2 linked regions of the Macaca fascicularis genome follow. The main gene of each other region encodes a partner of the protein of the gene in region 2 in a complex. Links are inferred from orthologs where the notes say so. Each region holds a gene or a part of one and is shown on either strand. Other genes may lie near its edges.

The links. The genes of interacting proteins can lie anywhere in the genome.
Region 1: ARID1A (region 2) and SMARCD1 share a complex: the UniProt entries of both Homo sapiens proteins name them as parts of the neuron-specific chromatin remodeling complex. The link is inferred for Macaca fascicularis from reciprocal best matches to the Homo sapiens genes ARID1A and SMARCD1.

Annotation. Positions count from the first base shown.
Region 1 is NC_088385.1:56,921,227-56,929,196, reverse strand, and holds part of SMARCD1 (SWI/SNF-related matrix-associated actin-dependent regulator of chromatin subfamily D member 1), read right to left. Parts: coding exon 7,865-7,970; intron 7,775-7,864; coding exon 7,677-7,774; intron 4,129-7,676; coding exon 3,993-4,128; intron 1,704-3,992; coding exon 1,581-1,703; intron 1-1,580. UniProt on the Homo sapiens protein: Involved in transcriptional activation and repression of select genes by chromatin remodeling (alteration of DNA-nucleosome topology).
Region 2 is NC_088375.1:208,325,914-208,333,753, forward strand, and holds the end of ARID1A (AT-rich interactive domain-containing protein 1A), read right to left. Parts: intron 6,482-7,840; coding exon of another isoform or gene 6,362-6,481; exon of another isoform or gene 6,126-6,361; intron 5,826-6,125; coding exon 4,092-5,825; 3' UTR 2,740-4,091; downstream 1-2,739. UniProt on the Homo sapiens protein: Involved in transcriptional activation and repression of select genes by chromatin remodeling (alteration of DNA-nucleosome topology).

The sequences.
Region 1 (7,970 bases), on a different chromosome or scaffold from region 2:
AGTTTGTGGTAGTTTGCTACAGCAGCCTCAGCAAACTGATACAACACCCAGTCACCTCTGTAATCAACAAGTCATTGCCTTGTTCAGGGATCTTTCCTGGCATCCCTTTTCCCTTGCTCCTCTGCTCAGCCTAACTAGTCACAGTCAGCACAGGAGGGGTGAGAACTGATGGGTTCATACTCTGTGCCCATTCCTATCTACTAGACTGAGCTTACTGTGCTCCCCTTTCTGAGAAATGTCTCCAAATCCCAAATTTTCCATGAAGCCTTCCCCAGAGATTCTAGTTTCACTGATCTCCCTTCTCTGAATTACCTTATTGATCCTGGTCAGTCTGATAATGTCTTTTTTTTTTTTTTGAGATGGAGTCTTACTCTGTCAGCCATGCTGGAGTACAGTGGCGCGATCTCGGCTCACTGCAGCCTCCGTCTCCCGGGTTCAAGCGATTCTCCTGCCTCAGCCTCCTGGGTAACTGGGATTACAGGCACCTGCCACCATGTCTGGCTGATTTTTGTATTTTAGTAGAGATGGGGTTTCACTGTGTTGGCCAGGCTAGTCTCAAACTCCTGACCTCAGGTGATCTGCCCTCAGCCTCCCAAAGTACTGGGATTACAGGCGTAAGCCACCACGCCTGGCCTGATAATGTCTTATATGGTTTACTACTTTGTTTTTTGTTTTTTTTTTTTTTTGAGACGGAGTCTCACGCTGTTGCCCAGGCTGGAGTGCAGTGGCGCGATCTCGGCTCACTGCAAGCTCCGCCTCCCGGGTTCCCGCCATTCTCCTGCCTCAGCCTCCTGAGTAGCTGGGACTACAGGCGCCCGCCACCGCGCCCGGCTAATTTTTTGTATTTTTAGTAGAGACGGGGTTTCACTGTGGTCTCGATCTCCTGACCTTGTGATCCGCCTGCCTCAGCCTCCCAAAGTGCTGGGATTACAGGCTTGAGCCACCGCGCCCGGCCTGGTTTACTACTTTGTATCACACTAGCCTAGTTTCTCTTTTTTTTTGAGATGGAGTCTCGCTCTGTCACCCAGGCTGGAGTGCAGTGGCAGGATCTTGGCTCACTGCAACATCTGCTTCCTGGGTTCAAGTGATTCTCCTGCCTCAGCCTCCCAAGTAGCTGGGATTACAGGTGCACACCACCACGCCCGGCTAAATTTTTGTATTTTTAGTGGAGACAGGGTTTCACCATGTTGGCCAGGCTCGTCTCAAACTCCTGACTTCAAGCGTTCTGTCGGCCTCAGCCTCCCAAAGTGCTGGGATTACAGGTGTGAGCCACAGTGCCCGGCTATACTAGCCTAGTTTCTTCAGACAGAATGTAGGCTGCTTTGAAAGCAGAGATCAGGTCTTCCACTCTGTATCCCTGACAAGATGAAGCACAGTGACAGACAAAGTAAGTACTAAATCAACACGTGATGGGTCTGCCCCCATTTCCCTGCTTAATTGCAAAATGGACCCTGGAACATGCTAAAGAAAAATCTGGCCCCTTACTCCTTCCTCTGGGTCTTCTACCAGCTGCTACATAAATAAAGGAGGTGTGTGCCTCACTGACCTAAGTCCCTTCAGACCTCTCCTAGGTTCTTTACCTTGAGGTCCCTGCACTGGGACTGAAGCCAGTCATTGATGAAACCCTGAGGGTCTCTGGCAAAGCTCAGCATGAACTCCCGCTGAGTCTTCAGCTGGTTGATGGTTTCTATTGTCTCATGGATCTGAAAGGAAGAACGAAGCCCATACCATTTTCAAACTAGAAAAATGAGAAGTTAAATGGCAGGTGGTGCCTGACAACTCCACATGCCACTCCCAACCTAGTCACAGTGCTGCCCACAGCTGGTACCATCATATAAAGTTCCAACTGCTCCGACCCTTGGCATTCTTTCAGCAGGTAATTTGCTCTTGTTTGTGTCTCTCTGTACACCCCATGTGAGGAAAGTTTTCCTTTTGGTCTCCTCAGTGCCCACTATGGGCAAAGCTACATGATGAATACTTACTCCACAGCCCAAATGGGTCCAAAAGTGTTCTCAGGAAGAAAAGGACTGGCATATGGGGCTGTCTCATAAGCTCTCATCTCTGGGTTTTGTTCTCAACTCTTTTCTCATTCTACATACTCCTCCCAGCAATTTCTTTGACTTGTATGTCTTCCACTACCACTGACAGTATAATGAGTCCCCAGTCTGTAGCCCAGAGTCTATTTTCTATACTCCAACCAAACCGACTGCTTAAACTTGACATCTCTAAAATTAAATTCACTACCCTTTCTCCAATACCTGCTCCTCCTCCTCCCCTCTTCCCAGTCATAGTAAATACTACTATCCACCCAAGCTAGAGACCTGGGAGGCATCATAACATTTCCTTCTCATTCACCCCTCACTCTAATCCCAACAGTGGCCAAATTCCTTCAATTGCACTTTGACACCTCTCAAATCTATCTACTTATCTCCACCCTGACTGTCGGGACTGTAAATGTAGGGCCTCAACACGTCTCACATGGATTACTGCACCAGCCTCCTAACTGGGCTTCCTGCCTCCAGCCCTGCCCTCTGACAAATTATTCTCCACCTTCCTGCAATGATGATTCTACATACAAATAGCATCAGTCCCTCCACTGGTAATGATCTCTCAACACAGTCTTCAGGATGAAACATAAACCAGTCTTCCCTGAATCAAAGGTTCTTCATGATTAGGCATCTGGCTCCCTATCTAGCTTTCCTTCCCAAAACATCCCATCCCTGGCACTCTATGCTGTATCTAGCACACTAAATGGCTGGTACTTCTTTAAGACACCAGGCTCTCTCTCTCCTCTCTGGATCTTTACACGCCCTATTCCCTCTTTCTGGAATGTCTTCTGCCTCCTATACCCCCAGCACCACTACCCTTTTTGCCCTTTCATTAACACCTACTTTGTCCTTCAAGATTTCATTAGGGCTGGGCGCGGTGGCTCACACCTGTGATACCAGCACTTTGGGAGGCCGAAGCGGGTGGATCACCTGAGGTCAGGAGTTCAAGACCAGTCTGACTAATATGGTGAAACCCCGTCTCTACTAAAAATACAAAAATTAGCTGGGCATGGTGGCGGGCACCTGTAGTCCCAGCTACTCAGGAGGCTGAGACAGGAGAATCACTTGAACCCAGGAGACGGAGGTTGCAGTGAGCCAAGATCACGCCATTGCACTCCAGCCTAAGCGACAGAGCAAGACTCCATCTCAAAAAAAAAAAAAAAAAAAAAAAAAAAAAAACAACAAGATTTAGTTGGGGCATCAACTCTTCCAGCAAAGCCTCCCTTTTTCCTTCGTGTTCCCAAAGCACTTTTGGCTTTATTTGCAAGGACTGTGTCTAATAACAACAATCCAGATAACAATAATAGTAGCAGAAGTTACCATTTGTTGTTTTTATATGTGCCAGATACAGACTCAAGTCTTTACATATACTCCCTCATTTAATTGTCATAGCAACCTGATTAAAATAGGTACTATGGGCTGGGCATGGTGGCTCACGCTTGTAATCCCAATACTTTGGGAGGCCGAGGCGGGCAGATCACTTGAGGTCAGGAGTTGGAGACCAGCCTGGCCAACATGGCGAAACCCTGTCTCTACTAAAAATACAAAAATTAGCCAGGTGTGAAGGTGGGTGCCTGTAATCCCAGCTACTTGGGAGGCTGAGGCAGGAGAATCACTTGAACCCAGAAGTGGAGGTTGCCGTGAGGCAGGATTGCACCACTGCACTCCAGCCTGGGCGAGAGAGTGAGACTCCTGAAAAGAAAAAAGAAAAAAAAAAAAGGTACCATGGTCTCTATTCCACAAATCAGAAACTGAGGCTCAGCGCTATTGAGAGTATCCCCACAATCAGAATTCATTTGAGTCTGGCTCAAACCAGCACCAAGCACAGTACCTGACATATACTGGGTGTCGCCATATTTTGAATGAACACTAAAAATCAAAAGGAGGCCTTGAAGCTGTGATAGGGGCTGGTGGTACCCAACCGTCCAGGGCACAGACCCCTACCTTGTTGTCTAGAGTAGCAATCTCCTGTTGGCTGGCAGTGGACAGCAGAAAAGAATTCATCTGGGTCTTCAAGGTGTCATCCACTTCAACATCAATGTCATAACAAGCTGTCTTTTTCTGATCATTCGGGTCAACACTGGACAGGAAACCAAAGGGGCCTGGTAAAGAGCTTGTCCCCTAAGACCTAATTACACAGGGTCAAAAAGATGACCCAGGATGAAGAGAAAAGGGGCTAATTGCAAAAGGGCCCAACAACTTCTGGGTGTGACAGAAATGTTCTATACTTTACTGTGGCAGCTACATGGTATACAGATCAGGCAAAAATCTTCAGACTACACTTTCAGTTGGTATACTCTGTTATATATAAATTATACTTCAATAAAGTTATTTATTTAAAAAGTCAATGGTAAAAATTGAAGCAGTACAAAAGGTATCTGGTGAAAAGCAGTTCCTTCCTCTCCAAAGGAAATCACTGCTACAGTCTCCTATATATCTTTCTCCCTTTAAAAAAAATTTTTGGCAGCCAGGCATGGTGGCTTACGCCTGTAATCCCAGCACTTTGGGAGGCCAAGGTGGGTGATCACCTGAGGTCAGGAACATGGTGAAACCCCATTTTTACTAAAAATTAGCCAGACATGGTAGCTTATGTCTGTAATCCCAGCTACTGGGGAAGCTGAGGCAGGAGAATCTCTTGAACCTGGGAAGCAGAGGTTATAGTGAGCCAAGTTCATGCCACTACACTTCAGCCTGGGTGACAGAGTGAGATGGTCTCAAAAAAAAAAAAAAATTTTGGCGAGCCATGGTGGCTCATGCCTGTAATCCTAACACTTTGGGAGGCTGAAGTAGGAGGACTGCTTGAGCCCACGAGTTTGAGACCAGCCTATACTACACAGTAAGACCCCAGGTTCTACAAAAAATTTCAAAATAATTCCTGGGCTAGGTGGCACACATCTGTGATCCCAGCTACTCAGGAGGCTGAGGTGGGAGGATCACTTGAGCCCAGGAGGTCGAGGATGCAGTGAGCCATGATTACACCACTGCATTCCAGCCTGGGCAACAGAGAGAGACTCTGTCTCAAAAAAAAAAAAATAATAATAATAATAATTTTTAAAACTTTTTTGGCCAAGTGTGGTGGCTCATGCCTGTAACCCCAGCACTCTGGGAGGCCAACACGGGCAGATCACTCAAGGCCAGGAATTCAACACCAGTGTGGCGAACATGGTGAAACTCCATCTCTACTAAAAATACAAAAAGTGGCGCATGCCTGTAATGACAACTACTTGGGAGGCTGAGGCACAAGAATTGCTTGAACCTGGGAGGCAGCGGTTACAGTGAGCAAAGATCACGCCACTGCATTCCAGTCTGGCAGAGCGAGACTCTATATATGTTTAAACAAACGAAGCTTTTTTTTTTTTTTTTTTAAAGATGGAGTCTCGCTCTGTTGCCCAGGCTGGAGTGCAGTGGCACAATCTCGGCTCACTGCAACGTCTGCCTCCCAAGTTCAAGCGATTCTCCTTCCTCAGCCTCCCAAGTAGCTGGGACTACAGGTGCCCACCACCACACCCACCTAATTTTTGTATTTTTAGTAGAGATGGGGTTTCACCATATTGGCCAGACTGGTCTTGAACTCCTGACCTTGTGATCCGCCCGCCTTGGCCTCCCGAAGTGCTGGAATTACAGACGTGAGCCACTACACCTGACCAAACAAACTTTTTTTCATTGTTTCAGAGACAGGATTTTGCTATGTTGCCCAGGCCGGACTCGAACTCCAGGACTCAAATATCTACCCACCTTCGCCTCTGGAGTAGCTGGGTCTACAGGAACGTGCCACTGTGCCTGGCTTTCTCCCTTTTAAACTAAAATTGACCCCAAAAATAAAGTCAAACACAAAATTAAAAGTGGTCTAACTTTAAGCATAGGAATACAGGACAGACCAACTTCTACTGACCTAATTTATAGGTCGAGGAGTTACTACTGCGTAAGTAATGGTTCAGGGTCTTATCTTTCTTCTTTTTCTCCCCTCTCCCTCTCTGTCATCTTGTAGGTTCAGGGTCAAAAGAAAAAAAAAAGCCCACCAGGCGTGGTGGCTCGTGCCTGTAATCCCAGCACTTTGGGAGGCTTGAGGCAGGTGGATCACAGAGTTAGGAGATCGAGACCATCCTGGCCAACACTGTGAAACGCCATCTCTACTCAAATACAAAAAATCACCGGGGCGTACTGGCATGCTGTAATCCCAGCTACTCAGGAGGCTGAGGCAGGAGAATCGCTTGAACCCAGGAGGTGGAGGTTGCAGTGAGCTGAGATTGCACCGCTGCACTCCAGCCTGGCGACAGAATGAGATTCTGTCTCAAAAAAAAAAAAAAAAAAAAGAAAAGAAAAGAAAAAAAAAGAAAAAAAAGTCCTTACTGGAATTAATATGGAATAAAGGAAGAAAGGCAAAGAGACTATATCCAACTACAGAGCCATGCTTCTTTGAGAAGGAATTTTCTTCACTTCCTATCTGCCTAGAGATGCCTTGCTCTCCATCCTCTAAACAAAAAAGTGAATAGAAGTAATGGAATTGGAGGCTCAGAATAGAATGCTGTACCATCCAGAGAAAAGATGGCCACTGAGCTCTTCCATCAGTGAAGAGCTGGTAAATGTTTAACAACTGATCTTCCAAAGGAGAGCAGGAGGAAGTGCCCAGATACGTGCATTTGCTGATCTTTGGGCTTTAAATAATCTGATTTCGGCCGGGCTCAGTGGCTGACACCTGTAATCCCAGCACTTTGGGAGGCCAAGGCGGGCAGATCACCTGAGGTCAGGAGTTTGACATCAGCCTGGCAAACATCGTGAAATCCCATCACTACTAAAAACATAAAAAAATTAGCTGGGCATGGTGGCAGGTGCCCGTAATCCCAGCTACATGGGAGGCTGCGGTAGAAGAATCGCTTGAACTCGGGAGGTGGAGGTTTCAGTGAGCCGAGATCATGACACTGCACACCAGCCTGGGCAACAAGAGCGAAACTCCATCTCAAAACAAAACAAAACAAAAGGCTGGGCACAGCGGCTCAGGCCTGTAATCCCAGCACTTTGGGAGGCCAAGGCGGGCGGATCACCCGAGGTCAGGAGTTCAACACCAGCCTGACCAACATGAAGAAACCCCATCTCTACTAAAAATACAAAATTAGCCAGGCATGGTGACACATGCCTGTAATCCCAGCTATGTGGGAGGCTGCAGCAGAAGAATCACTTGAACCCAGTAAGCAGAGGTTGCGGTGAGCCAAGATTGCGCCACTGCACTCCAGCATAGGTAACAAGAATGAAACTTCATCTCAAAAAAAAAAAAAAAATTCTGATTTCAAGCTACCAACATTACATTACTGTTCATGAGAAGAGATGCACAATAACATATAAGCACATCATATCATTATATCATATTTCCACCAGATGTATACAACAGGCAAAAATAACCTCAAGAGCACAAATACAATAAAATGTAATAATGAGAAAGTAATACATTTTGAGTATATGTTACCCACTTTTAGACTAATATATTTAATTATAAGTTTATGTAATTTAATTGTAAAGTAACAGCTGTGTTTAACAACCTATTTGCAAAATTCCTGAAAATTTGACAACTAGCTTGTGCAAACTGGTACAAGGCAGCTCCGGCACAGCACTGCCTCCCACACACAGGCCTACCTGATGACATGATTAATGATAATAGGTTCTGGTGGCATAAGCAAGGCATGGAGCCGCTGCGGGATCTCTGAAAACTTCATACGTTGAGACTCAAAGATCTGTGGCAAAGGAGAGAAGCACGAGCTTAGCATTTTGAGTGTAGCTAGTGTTCTAATGGATTCTAGCAAAAGAATGGGTCCATTACTTACCTGCTGCAGGTACTTGTCACAGATGACAAACTCCCGCTCATGAGGGTCCTGGAGCTTATGTGTCTTAATATATTGCCACAGTGCTTGGATGATCACTGGACGAGTC
Region 2 (7,840 bases):
CATTTACCAAAAGCATCCTTTTTGGCCTCTGCCTGATCACTTGAAGATGCCCATCCACCCAAGGACAAAGACTCTGCCTTGCCTGCAACTGCAGGAGCCAAACACTCATCATTTAAAGCCCATGGTCACTAGATATTTTTCACCCTTCCTTCAGTGTTTGCCTTTCAATAGTTAGAAAACCTTGACCCCACTGAGTGGCCTAGTGGGAAGGCCTTAGCCACTTGGGGGTGGCAGTGGCTACAAGGCAAAAGAGCCAATGAGGTTTAGAGTATTGTTTAGGCTGGACTTGGCTGCTCTCCAGCTATGAAAGAAGGTTAAGGTCATTTGGGGGGTGGGGAGGGAGGAGCCTGGGAAAAGAACTACTGGCCACACCCCTGGGTTCTCTGCTGGCTAGGTTCTATTTACTTCTCAAAAGCAAATTACTCACAGCTCACTGGCCAGCAGTTCTCTTGGCCATGGTAACTCCAGTCAGAAACTGGAACCAGGCTAGGCTCTCCCTGCATTGCAGGAGAGCAGATGAAAGGAACCCAGGAAACCGAACTCCTAGGTAATGCTCCACACACAGTCCAGATATGCATTTCTAGACTAGCAAACGGAGCTCGAGACCCAGAACAAAAATAGCCATTAGCAATATTGCTTACCAAAATTGTAGATATGAAAAACTTCCCATTTAACTTTTTCTAGAAGAGTCCTAGGAAGGCATCTTGGTTGACAAAGGTTTTCCTTTCTCAATTGAGAAATACTAATTATTCAAATCCTGTTCCTGACCCAAATATTAACAGCCACACTTAGTCTAATGAACACTTGATTGAAATTCTTAGGACAATTTTACCTTGTGTTAAAGACAATAAAAACAAATCTTGCTTGCTGAGCTCCACAGCTAGATCCCTTACTCCTGGTTGGGTTCTCATCCAGAAAGGATGGACATCCAGAAAGACAGGACATTTTAGCTTTGGCATGTTCAAAGTAAACTTCCAAGCAGGGATGACAAGAAAGAAGGTAGTGTGGCATATTAAGAAAAGCATGATCCTTGGAGTCAGGTGGAACTTGCTTGGTGTATGAACTTAAGTCTTTCACTTTTCTTAGCCTCTTTCTTCAGCTGTAAAATGGGAGCCACATACTGACTTCACAGGCACAGGATTGTTGTAGGATTGTGATGTGTTATGTCCAGAATATAAGTAGGTACACAATAGAAAACTGTTGTTTGTTTCAGATTTCACTTCTAAGTGTCCACAGTAATAGCATTTTTTTCTCTTACTGCTTCTGATTTCTCCTGAGGAACTTGAGGCTTCTCAGTTTCCCTAAGGAAGGGGGTGAACAGAGAAACTATACATTGTGACATTAGCCTCATAAAAGCAACTCCATCTAGCCAACATTGACAGTATCATTCAACTACTACTAAAGTAGATGCTATGTGCCAGGCTGTATGTTAGCACAGGGATGCACCAGAGAACAAATTAACCCTCCCACCACCCTCAATTTACATTTCAGTGGAAGGTGACAGGTAAGTATAACTTGTAATAGGCCAGATGGTAACAAGTGCCACAGGAAAAATTAGGCAGACAAGGGAAATGTAGTTGGGGGGCAGAGATTGCTATTCTAAGTAAGGTGACCAGGAAAAGTCTTACTTATGTATTTGGACAAAGACTTGAAGCAGCTGAGGACTTGAGCCATGCAGTTATTTGGTGAGAGTAGAAAGTACAAAGACTCCAAGGTGGAAACATCTCTGTACAGTGGGGTGAGTAACGGGCAAGACGGATGGTGCAGGAAAGGTAGAGGTAAGCTAGATAACTCAGGGCCTTGTAGGCCACTTTGAGTCTGGATTTTTTTTTTTTTTTTGAGACGGAGTCTCGCTCTGTCGCCCAGGCTGGAGTGCAGTGGCGCGATCTCGGCTCACTGCAAGCTCCGCCTCCCGGGTTCACACCATTCTCCTGCCTCAGCCTCCCGAGTAGCTGGGACTACAGGCGCCCACAACCGCGCCCGGCTAATTTTTTGTATTTTTAGTAGAGACGGGGTTTCACCGTGGTCTCGATCTCCTGACCTTGTGATCCGCCCGCCTCGGCCTCCCAAAGTGCTGGGATTACAGGCGTGAGCCACCGCGCCCGGCGAGTCTGGATTTTTACTTACTCAGAGCCAGAAGCACTGAAGGCATTTTATCTGACTTACCTTTTATAGGGGTCCTTTTGGTTGTTCTGTTGAGAATAGGTTCAACCAGGCAAAGCAGAAGCAGGGAGGCCAATTTGGAGGTATTTCAAGAATCCAAGATATAACAGTGTCTTGAACTACAGTAGTAGTGCGGGATTGAGGATTACTTTGTAGAGTGCTAACAGATTGGATGTGGAAGTGAAAGAAGTCAAGGATTTTTTTGGCACGTGATAGAATGGAGTTGCCATTTACTGAAAGGAAAACACAAAAAACCAAAACTATGGTAGAAGCAGGTTTCTAGTGGGGGAAAGACAGGACATTTTAGCTTTGGCATGTTCAAAGTAAACTTCCAAGCAGGGATGACAAGAAGATGGCTGAATGCTCTAGTCTGGAGTCAGGGAAAAGAGCCAGTCCAGAGATATTACAAGTGATTAAGTTGGAGGTTGCCTCCAGATAAATGGTTGTCTTATTTTGGACAGATGCCACTATTTAGGGGAGATCTCACACTAAGGGAGGTTTGCAAAAACAGGACTACCTCCTACCCCCCGACAAAGGTCAAGTTTTAGTTTGAAAATAAAAAGCTTCACAAAAGTCTTACCAAGATTTAATGTACATTTATTCTTAACACGTGGAACATATAGTATAAAGATTTCATACTGAATAAATGATATTCATTAAGCCAAAAAAGGAAAAAAAGGAGGAATTTACATCAAGTTTTAGCTACATTGTTGAAATACAAATATGCAGATTTTATCACTGAAAAAATCTCAATTGTGTTTCTTCATCAGAACTTCAACTGAACCTAGAACTTTTTCACACCTCGATTAGAAAGAAAACAAAACAAAACAAAAACCCAGAAAAAAATAAACTATAAGTTGATTGGCTGCTGAGACAGCAAGGACTTTTTACAGAGACCTGTACAGCATCGCACCAAGAGGGGCGATGTCTGGCAAGAGATTAAATAGCTGTGTCTCGCTTTGTGCAGGTCACCAACTTGTTAACTCGTCATACTATAAAGGGGTAGCTGGGATGAGGACCAAACTGTGGGGATCCAAGGGTATGTGCAATGTACAACGTCATATATATACACACGTGGCAGCGCAGCCGCTGCAGCTAAAGGTTAAAACCAGTTCTAAGAGGTGATCTCAGGGTTATTCATACAATCAAGGAGGAGAGAAAGAGGTCAGGGTGTTGTAGGTTCACACATGATACTTTGGGGGAAAAGCCTTTTTTTTTTCTCCTCAACGTTTAACTAAAAACATTTTTAAAAACTACAGCTTGCTGCTGACCCAGCGTTTTCTCGTTTCCATGTGAGACATTATTATTACAGTATGTTTACAGTATCAGGTGTACAGTACAGTACATGAAAGGGTCTACACTCTACTGCACAGGCCTCTCCAGTGAACAGGGTCTGTTCACAACTGCGAACTTCTTGGCTCCTGCAAGATTGTGAATGTACAACAATAAACCACACACAGTTCAGCAGTCACCTTTTTTGTCCTTCAGAATTTTTTTTTTTGTATTTTTTTCCTTTTTTCTTTTTTACCATTAAAAACAGTTATGAAATGTGGCGTCCCGTTGATGCAAGGACTGGGAAAGCCATTTTTATTTTATTTTTTTTTCCCCAAACTCACTGTAAACAACAGTAACTTTGGTTAAAATAAAAAAAGTCTTCTATGTAGGCAGAGCTTTGTCTTTTCAAAGAGGGTGGGGTGGGGTCCTGAGGGGAGCAAGGTGAGGTCAAGGAACAGAAAGGCGTGAGGTGGTGGACGGGGAGAGGCGGAAGGAGGAAAGAGAAACAGGAGAGACTTTTTCCCAAGGGAGAAGCTGGACAGCACAGGGTAAACTGGATTCTGAGGTGGTTTTGCATAAATAAAGGGCAACAGTCAGTTTCTAAGTTCTCCACACACGCACACACACACAGGGGGGGAGGTGTCCCACGGCTGTCATGACTGGCCAATCAAAAACAGTACATCACAAATGACTTGTGAAACCAATGAGTTCATCAACGGTGATACCGAGATGTCCAACAGCCGTGATTCGTACAGAGTAAACTCTGAGTGGTTCTCGTCCACCTTGGCCAGGGCAAGCAGCGCGCGGGCAGCCCGCCGCATCATGTCCACACTAGTTGGCTCAAAGGGTGGGTTCTGCATGTGGAGGAGGCTGGCCTGGCTCTGCTGGAACTGCGTGGCGGCAAGGCTGTCCTCTAGGAAGCCCAGGAGGTTGCCGATACTGCCTTTCTGCACTGCAATGGCACGAGCTGCCAGGCTGTCCCCCTGAGCCAGGTTGGCCAGCAGTACCACAGCCATCTCCCGGCACACCGGGTTCTTTCGGTCACTGAGGAAGCGCACCATAGTGCTATACAACTTCTCCAGGCGACTGAAGGGGGGTGTGGCCAGAATCAGGTCCACATTGTTGTCCTGGATGCTGAGTTTGCTGAGGGTTTCCAAGACCAGTCTCTGCGGGGAAAGGACGGCATTGGGGCCCAGGGTGGAAAAGGGGTCCTGGGCTTCAGCTGAAGGGCAAACTGCCCAGTGTAGGAGTCCGTCCAGGACAGGCAGGCAAATGCTCTCGGGGTATGGGGATAGGTCCAACTGCCCCGAGATGTTGGCGAGTGTAACCAAGGTGTTTTCCCGGAGCATCTCCAAGCAGTCCCACCACCACTCCACTTTGTTGCAGCTCACCCCTTGGTCCTGTTCCTCCTCCTTCTCATAAGTTAGTGGTGCCTGCTTCCGTTCTGGGTGCTTGTGGTGCAGCAGGATCAGCTTGCCCAGGATGAGCAGCAGCCCTGGGTGTTTGGACATCTCAAAGTCATTGCCTGGCACAAATGACAGGCTTCGAATGGTATTGGAGACACAGACACAGCGCTTGGCAAGAGAATCCTGCCAGTCCAGAAGGGTACACAGTGGGGTCTCATCCTTACTGTGGGGTTCGTCCTCTAGGATCTTGATATTCCGGTGGCTCTGTGCTGGGCTAATGCCAAATGGAAACTTGCTGCTCTCCTTGATGGCCTCTGAACTCTTAGCTCCATCCTCGGTCAAGGTGCTAGACCGAGTAGACAACATGTCATCCATAGTGGCTGTGATCCGTTTTTCTGGAGGTCCATCAGGTGGGGGTCCCTCCTGGTCTGTTGTCCCTGGCGTACCCTCTGCTGTTGTCACATGCTTCCGGGGGGCTGGTGGGCAGGGTGCATGAGGCCGGGAAGGCAGCAGCTCTGTCTTGCTTTCGAAGTGGGTCTGGATATGCTCAGTGGTGTCCCCCCCACCAATCCGCCAGTGCAGCAGGCCACTGTCAAACTCCTGCACACGCCCAAGCTTATCTGAGCAGTCCACCACAAATGGGTCATTCTTCTGTACGATCTTTACTGGAAGCTTGTCAAACTTACTGATCAGCTTCTCCTCACTATTCTCTGAAGCTGGCTTGTCCTTGCCTGAAAAGGCTATCTCCTCATCATTTTCAACTACTTCCTCTTCTTCTTCCTCTTCTAGTTTAGGACCTAGAAGTTCTTCTTCTTCTTCCCCACCCTCCATGGGAGCTGGACTAGACACCTTGCTGAACCTCCCAGGATCCAGTAGCGTTCTCTGTCCTGGGTCACCCACCTCATACTCCTTTAAAATGCCAAAGATCTCAATCAGGCATCGTCGGAAATATTCTACAAGGAGCTCTAGCAACCCTGGGAGCTAAAAAGAGAAAGAACAGGAAATAAATTAAGGGATAAAAGTGGTCAAAGAACAGAATCCTTGACTTGAGAGACCTCCCCAAGTCTTCTGTATCAGCTGGGAGAGGCAGAGTTGCTCCTTTCCCAAAGGTTCTCCACAGAGCAAATTGTTCATCTTAATCTCTTCTATGCCCAACACAAAGTTCTTTCTTCTGCCCAACCTACCTTCACATAAGCCTATCTCCAGGAACACTAGCCAACAGCTTTGCACCTCACCCACCAGGGCCAGTCATCTCTTAGCCTTCTCTTTTCCCAATCAATCTTCTGCTGTTCTTCACCAGGCCAGTTTCCAACCTGGTGGTCACTGCCATATTATCTCTTTTAGGACATTCTCTCCATCTCACTGCCAAGTGGAACCCAAGCTTAGGCATGGTGACTCAAGCTAAGAGAAGAGAATGCAATGTGGGCAGATGTTCATGGCTCTCTTCTCCAAGCTCCCCAATAGTCCAGGGGGCTGGAACTCCATGGATCTTGCAGCATAAGGAGTGGGATGAGGCTTCAGCTCTCCAAACACTGGTCCAAACTGGGGCTACAGAGACCCAAATTCCACCTTGGGTAATATATAGGCCATTTATTTACCTCTAGAAGAAAACACTCCTCTCCAGTCACAATCTTTGGCTGAACAGTAGAGCAGATGGGAAAAAAATAAGGGCTTTCAAATTAGATCTAGGGGCTGGAAGCAGTGGCTCACACCTGTAATCCCAACACTTTTTTTTGTTTTTTTTTTGAGACAAAGTCTCACTGTCATCCAGGCTGGAGTGTAGTGGTGTGATCTCAGCTGGCTGCAGCCTCCGCCTCCTGGGTTCAAGTGATTCTTCTCCTGCCTTAGCCTCCCGAGTAGCTGGGATTACAGGCGCCTGCCACCACATCGGGATAGTGTGTGTGGGGTGTGTGTATGTGTGTGTGTGTATTTTTTTTTTTTTTTTTGAGACAAGAGTCCCGCTCTGTTGGCCAGGCTGGAGTGCAGTGGTGCAATCTCAGCTCACTGCAACCTCTGCCTCCTGGGTTCAAAGTGATTCTCCTGCCTCTGCCTCCCAAGTAGCTGGGATTACAGGTGTGCCACCAGGCCCGGCTAATTTTTATATTTTGGTAGATATGGGGTTTTACCATATTGGCCAGGCTGGTCTTGAACTCCTAACCTCAACTGATCCACCCACCTTGGCCTCCCTCCCAAAGTGTGAGGATTACTGGAGTGAGCCACCACGCCCAGCCTAATTTCTGTATTTTTAGTAGAGACGGGGTTTCACCATGTTGGCCAAGCTGGTCTCAAATTCCTGACCTCAAGCGATCCTTCTGCCTCGGCCTCCTGAAGTGCTGGGATTACAGGCGTGAGCCACTGCTCCCAGCCGGTAGTCCCAATACTTTGGAAGGTTGAAGTGGGAGAATCAGTTGAGCCTAGGAGTTTGAGACCAGCCTGGGCAACACAGTGAGACCATGCCTCTACAAAAAATAAGGAAGTTAGCTGGGGCCTGGAGCAGTGGCTCACACCTGTACTTTGAGAGGCTGAGGCAGGTGAATCACTTGAGCCCAGGAGTCTGAGATCAGCCTGGGCAACATGGTGAAGCCCCGTCTCTCAAAATAATAATAATAATAATAATAATAATAATAATAATAATAATAATAATTAGCTGAGCATGTTGGCGTGCACCTGTAGTCCTAGCTACTTGGGAAGCTGAGGTGGGAGGATCACCTGAGCCTGGAAGGTCGAGACTGCAGTGAGCTGTGATTGCACCACTGCACTCTAGCTTGAGTAATGGAGATCCTGTCTCAAAATAGATAAATAGCTGGACATGGTGGCATTTGCCTGTAGTCCCAGCTACTCAGGAGGCTGAGGCAAGAGGATCACTTGAGCCCAGAAGTTTGAGGCTGCAGTGAGCCATGAGGGCACTACTACACTCCAGCCTAGGTGCCAGAGTCTCTTAAAAAAAAAAAAAAAAAATTCTGGTTTTTCCAGGAAGTAGCTGTATAAAATAAAAA